Macaca mulatta: one gene and its partner. The protein of the gene in region 1 binds, or shares a complex with, the protein of each later gene. Links are inferred from orthologs where the notes say so. Each region holds a gene or a part of one and is shown in the gene's direction. Other genes may lie near its edges.

The links. Proteins that work in one complex are often made in the same cells at the same time.
Region 2: KAT6B (region 1) and BRPF3 share a complex: the UniProt entries of both Homo sapiens proteins name them as parts of the MOZ/MORF complex. The link is inferred for Macaca mulatta from reciprocal best matches to the Homo sapiens genes KAT6B and BRPF3.

The regions. Positions count from the first base shown.
Region 1 is NC_133414.1:74,586,995-74,590,494, reverse strand, and holds part of KAT6B (histone acetyltransferase KAT6B), read left to right. Parts: intron 1-350; coding exon 351-642; intron 643-3,500. UniProt on the Homo sapiens protein: Histone acetyltransferase which may be involved in both positive and negative regulation of transcription. Required for RUNX2-dependent transcriptional activation. May be involved in cerebral cortex development.
Region 2 is NC_133409.1:146,049,677-146,053,176, reverse strand, and holds part of BRPF3 (bromodomain and PHD finger-containing protein 3), read left to right. Parts: intron 1-1,380; coding exon 1,381-1,537; intron 1,538-3,500. UniProt on the Homo sapiens protein: Scaffold subunit of various histone acetyltransferase (HAT) complexes, such as the MOZ/MORF and HBO1 complexes, which have a histone H3 acetyltransferase activity.

The DNA.
Region 1 (3,500 bases):
ACCTTAAATGTCTGTGATGTGAGGAGTACTGAAGCCAGCAAGTACCACTTGGAAAATATATACTAGAAAAGCAAAGCTTAGTTTTTAAAATCTCCCGTCAAGCTGCTAGGATGTTCCCTCTCAAAGCATCTGCTTGAGTAAACAACTGTTTTATTTGGAAAACACTTGCCTGTGTAGTTGGAGCCCGAGAGGGATGTTAAACATCAAATGGAAGGTTAAGTACAAAGGCATTACAGAAGTCTCTACGTGTAAGATTCTCAGACACGTGTTCAGTACACGTCCACTGCATGTCGACTCAACCGTTTAATTTCTCATGAGCTCTTATGTGTTATGTTTGGAATTAATTTCAGAGGCCTTTTGTACTAAAGAAGAAAAGGGGTCGTAAACGCAGGAGGATCAACAGCAGTGTAACAACAGAGACCATTTCAGAGACGACAGAAGTACTGAATGAGCCCTTCGACAACTCAGATGAAGAGAGGCCAATGCCACAGCTGGAGCCTACCTGCGAGATTGAAGTGGAGGAAGATGGCAGGAAGCCAGTCTTGAGAAAAGCATTCCAACATCAGCCTGGGAAGAAAAGACAAACAGAGGAAGAGGAAGGAAAAGACAATCATTGCTTTAAGAATGCTGACCCTTGTAGAAGTAAGTAGAGGAATGATAAAAACCTTACCCTTGAGAATGTCTGTATCTGACTGGGTGCCAAAGAGCAGGCCTCTGGCGTGATGCCCAGAGGTACCTGGGAAGTGGTGCTGATGCACCTGGAGCAAGTGCCCATCTGCCCTTTCCCATCCTTACAAGCTTCTGTCCCTTCTTCCTGGAATTGGATTTTATGTTAAACAACTTCTAAGGCCAGAACATTCTTCTAGGTGGGTTCATCTTACTTACCAGAAATTGGCTTATCCCCCAAAACTTTTAAGTCTGTTGGTAAGAAACACATTACATTTCTTTGATTCTAATATGTACTTTTTTTCCCACATTTAGTATTTCTGAAATCAAGGTATATATTATTATCAATGTGAGCATTGAATGGAATCGTTTTTTTTCCTGGAAAACAAATATTAGTGAATCAATAGTACATCTTATAATCAGCGGTGTCTTAGTATATACTACTATAAAGATTCATCTAAACTAAGCTGAGCATGATGGCTCACACCTGTAATCCCAGCACTTTGGGAGGCTGAGGCAGGTGGATCACCTGAGCCCAGGAGTTTGAGACTAACCTAGGCAACATGGCAAAGCCCCATCTCTACAAGAAATAGAAAAATTAATCAGGTGTAGTGGTGTGCACCTGTAGTCTCAGCACTTTTGGAGGCTGAGGCAGGTGGATCACTTGAGCCCAGGAGTTTGAGACCAGCCTGAGCAACATGACAAAACCCCATCTCTACAAAAGATACAAAAAGTAGTCAGGAGTGGTGATGTGTGCCTATAGTCCCAGCTACTTGGGAGGCTGAGATGGGAGGATCACGTGAGCTCAGGATGAGCCATGATCATGCCATTGCACTCCAGCCTGAGTGACAAAATGAGACCCTTTCTCAAAAAAAAAAAAAAAAAAAAAAAAAATCATCTAAATTTACCCACACATCAAGATTAGCTTTGATAATATTGTATAATATAGAAATCAGTAAACTGATATAAGTTGACAGGGACAACCTTCCTTTTTAAGTTGACAGGGACACCTGTACCCCATCCTCTAAAAAATATACTGAACACCAGTGAATCGTCTTTCCTGCTGTATTTAAAACACCTATCCTGCCGGGCGCGGTGGCTCAAGCCTGTAATCCCAGCACTTTGGGAGGCCGAGACGGGCGGATCACAAGGTCAGGAGATCGAGACCATCCTGGCTAACATGGTGAAACCCCGTCTCTACTAAAAAAATACAAAAAACTAGCCGGGCGAGGTGGTGGACGCCTGTAGTCCCAGCTACTCGGGAGGCTGAGGCAGGAGAATGGCGTGAACCCGGGAGGTGGAGCTTGCAGTGAGCCGAGATCCAGCCACTGCACTCCAGCTTGGGTGACAGAGCAAGACTCCGTCTCAAAAAAAAATAAAAATAAAAATAAAAAAATAAAACACCTATCCTTGCTGTCAGGTTGAGAACGTGTGCTCCCAGCTGACTCATGAGGGTTTATGGCATACTGTCTCTATTCTCTGGCCGAGATGACTCTGTTCAGAACTTACTCTAATCTGGGGAACAGGCAATCTCATTTTCCTGGGAACCACAGGATCACTCTAGCTTTTGAAAAGCCACAGTTTTAAGAACAAGCATCTTCTTGACGTTCTTAGTTCACAGAAATGCTATTCCTGCATACATATTTTTGCTGAAGGAATGACTTCTTACTCTGGGTATAGAGAAACCAAGCCTTATTCTTTGGGGTTTTTTTTTTTTTTTTCTTTAAACAAATCAACATACAAACCACAACAAACTGCGATGAGCAATCATTTTGTGTGTGAGAATGAGCTTTGTTTCCCCTTCTTGGCTGTCTTCTCGTATTATGCCTGACTCCTTTCAGGATGTCCTTCTTTCTTAAGAATAATTGTCAGAAAACTCATCTTCTGATTTTGGAAGTTGTTCCAACAAAAGCTGGTAGGTCCAGTAGCATGTAGAATAAGAATACGGAATCCAGCCAGGCATGGTGGCTCATGCCTGTAATCCCAGCACTTTGGGTGGCTGAGGCAGGCAAATCACCTAAAGTCAGGAGTTCAAGACCAGCCTGGCCAACATGGTGAAACCCCATCTCTACTAAAAGGACAAAAAAATTAGCCAGGCGTGGTGATGCATGCCTGTAGTCCCAGCTACTTGGGAGGCTGAGGCAGGGGAATCGCTTGAACCTGGGAGACAGAGGTTGCAGTGAACCGAGATCATGCCACTGCACTCCAGCCTGGGTGACAGAGCAAGACTCCGTCTCAAAAATAAAAAGAATGTGGAATCCGGGGGCACTGGCATGGCTATTACCTGCCATTGTGAATAGAAATGTCCTGAGATGACTCTTAACTCGGGCATGGTACTGGGCACTTCTCAAGGAACCATTCTGCATCATATATGTGTTCTTTTCAGCTGGTCAGTTTGAAAGTAATACTTGCAGGTAAGTTTTTCTATAATCCTTTTATTACCTAAATCAGCCAGTGCTTACTCTGCTGTTCACCGGTTGGACTAGAACTCACTCTCTTCTGGCAGAAGGGATATCTGTTTTATGATGATTGTGACATCTTATTTTTATTCTCCAGAGTTTCTAATAAAACTATTGTTCTATATAAAGCTTTTCCTTTAAATTGACCACTGATTCTAGAAGATTAGTGTAATCTAAAGATCGTAAGAATACTTGGGTGCTTTATACATATATTTATTTATATATTTATTAATATGTATGTAGTTATCCATCTGCTTATATAAATATGTACATGTTTACATCTATATTCACATGTGCATATAGGTTCAGTAAAAATAAGGTCACCTGAACTGAAATGAACTTCACAATTATGGTTTGTTTCTGATTGTCTTTAAT
Region 2 (3,500 bases), on another chromosome or scaffold:
TTTATTTGTAAATGAACCCACCACATAGAGCTGTTGTGAGAAATAAATGAGATAATATAAGTAAAGCACTTAGCACAGTGTCTGGCAAATAGTAAGTGCTCAATAAATGGTGGCTGCTGCTGCTGCTGCTATTTTATCATTACTATTCTTTTCCCTACCCGCACAAATGCTGTTGGGATCCTCCATGGCCAAGAGGTTGTAGACGGAGGGTGCTGCCTATATCTGGGCAGGTGTGCTTGGCATGGACATTGGTCGGGATCTCTCCTTTGGGGAAAGGCCTAGTTCTTGATTTTATAAGCTTGGCTTTGGGGCAGGGATGTCTAACTGTGGAGAGGAGCAAGGCCTAGGTGAGCAATGTCGTGCCCAACATGCCCATCCTTCTAAGGTTTCAACTTGTTTAGCTGTGCTTATCTTTGTTTCAATGGAGTGGCATGAAGAGAAAAAAGGAGAGGAAACATCACAGGAGCACTGAGGCCTTGCTTACCCTGTGGATAACCAGTCTGGGGATGTACCATGGTATAGCAGAGAGATCGTGGATTCAGGTCCAACCCAGATCCACCATCTTATTAGCTGCATTAGTTATTTTGACAGTTTATTCAGCTTCTGTTCCTATGCTGCCTTTCCATCTTTTGTGACATGGGAATAATGATACCCACCTTGCAATATGGATATTAAAGACAGATATTATAGGCTTGCATTAATTCCTCTCGTACCCTTTCCTCCCCCAAGGAGTTACTGGCTTAAACCCTGACCTTAAGACTTGAGTAGTTTAGCCAGCTGCATTTTCACATTTCCCATCCTCTTACATCTTTAGATCCAATTTTTTTTTTCATTTGGTTCAAAATTAACATTTTTAGGCTGCTGAGGTTTATACCATGAAAAACCAGAGGTCAAACAACTCTAAGGGGTTGCATTGGGCTCAACCTGGTTGTGGGCTACTCCCTGGTTTGATGGGACTCTCAGCCGCAGAAGGCAGGAAATAGTGGCCACATTAACCATAGCTTACCCCAGTTCCTGTTCCCTTTCGCTGCTTTTATAAGAGGAGGGTGGGGGTATTGAGGCATAGGCTTGTTTCTCAGTCCATACCTGGAACGAAGAAGTCTAGGACCATAGGAAACGGGGTTCTGGGAGAGGGTTCTTTTGGAGGATTAGGACTGCAAGGCAAGAGGTGGAAAAGCAAATGAAATACCTCATGCTGAATCTGAGCTGCTTAACTTTACTGTCCTTTTCAAGCTTTTCTCTGAGGTGAGGTATTTGGCCATTTTATTCTGTCTTCCTGTATAAGGTTCAGAAATGAACCAGGGTCTGGATAGGATGCATGGGCTATAATCTGGGCTGCCTACTGACCCTGTCTTTCACTTCCATGTGCCTCTACTTAAGGTTGAACAAGATCTGTAGTGGTCTCTCCTTTCAGAGGAAAAACCAGTTTATGCAGCGGCTTCACAACTATTGGCTGTTGAAGCGGCAGGCACGGAATGGTGTCCCTCTTATCCGGCGCCTGCACTCCCATCTGCAGTCCCAAAGAAATGCTGAGCAGGTAGGTGCAGTGGTGATTTGAGACTGGTAGAGGGAGGTGGAGAGTGAAGGAAAAGGAATGGTGGTTGGGGTGGGGCTGGCATCCCTCCTTGATCCCTCCATGGAGCCTTTGCCTACCTGTCTGGGTGGCCCATCCCAGGAACAACCCCCAGCACTATAGAGATCGTCAAGCAGCTCCTTCTGAATGGATGAGGCTTGACTTTGTAGAGAATTCTAGGGGAGAGTGGAGAGCACGCCCAGCTTTCCATATATGTGGGGAAAATCCTCTAGATGTGGCAGAAAGCGAGAAGTAGGCTGAATGAGAGCCAGGGTGGCCACATTGTGTTAATTAGGAAAAGGCGCCCTTTCCTCAAGACATTATACTGCCATCTGCCAAAAAATGTTTCATAGTAAATACACAAATTTACGATCTAAGTTGTAGCACACAGCCTGTCCAATTGTGGTGGATGTTAGCCATTAGCAACTGGAGTTGCTGCATGTTTAATGTTTTTTGCTCCTAATTTCCCTTATTTGAACTATTTAGTTCTTTCTCCCCCCTTCACCTGTTCTATTCCTTCTGCCTTTAAGTGTTCCCACACTGCTGCTCCAGAGATGAAGCAAAGCTTTATGTGAGTCTGGTGCCTTCTGCATTCTGTCTGATCTCACTTTTGCCTTTTGTAACTAAACTCCTGAAGTATAAGCCTGTATCTGGCCCCCTTGAACCTTTTGGTCCACCTGCTTCACTGAAGCCTCCCCTAAAACATCAGCTACCTTGTCCCAGGAAGTCTTTCCTTATATTCTCACCTGATTGATCATTGGGCTGCATTTGACACCACAAATCACTTTGTCTAAGAGCTTCTCTGTGATACCATTTCCTGCTGCTTCTACCTCTCTGACCATACCCTATGCTGATCCCACTTCTTGCTCTTTAATGGTAACATTCCCAGTGGCTCTGTTATCTGCTTGTTTGCTTAGAGAACATGTCCACTCTCATAATTGACAATAACTGTATAATAGCAGCTCCAGACTTTTTGTCTTGTCCTCGTCCCTTTTTTCTGCCATCAGTCCCTCAGGGACGTTTCCATGTGGATGTGGTTAACTTGTAACTCAAATATTGGACGTTAATTATCTTTTTTCCTCTCAGTAAACTTATTTCCCCATCATTATGGCTCTCCCCTCCCTCCTGACTCATATCAAGAGTTCCCCACCTTGGAGTTACTTTTGACTCTTTACTCCCTAATGGGCCACTGTTAATCATCCCTTAAGCTGCTTTGGGGGCTTTCTCAACATGGTTTTTTGTCTTCATTCTGCAGCTCTCCTGCTCATCCATGCCCTCTTAATCTCAGCAATAGCTTTCTAGGTGATCTCTAGCCTCTAATTCTTTCTTTGCTCTACAACTGGTAGTTTCTTATTCACATGCTGTTGGGATCCTCCATGGCCAAGAGGTTGTAGAGGGAGGGTGCTGCCTACATCTGGGCAGGTGTGCTTGGCAGGGACATTGGTGGGGATCTGTCCTTTGGGGAAAGGCCTAGTTCTTGATTTTATAAGCTTGGCTTTGGGGCAGGAATGTCTGACTATGGAGAGGAGCAAGGCCTAGGTGAGCAATGTCCTGCTCTTCCATTCTCTTACTTCCTCTTCCAGAGTATACTCCTCTTTCTAGGCAGGTGAAGTTAAGGCTCTTTTGCCTTACATTTGAAGCTTCTTATTAGCTGTATCCTGGATCTTCCTTGACTTTTGTAGTTCTCCAGCATCTCTGTTCTGGTCAGCCTGTTTTGCTTACTAAGCAAAGAATCACTAATTCTGCCTCTACATTTCTACCCCTTTCATACCTTTGGTTCCAGGAGAGACCTTCCTTACTACTTTGTCCATCCATGTCTGTCACCTACCTATATGTAAAACTCTAGTAAGATTCTTCACCAGGAAGCTTCTCTGATCTAACCTCCACCTACTCAGATCTTCTATTTTGTATCCTCTTAGCATTTATA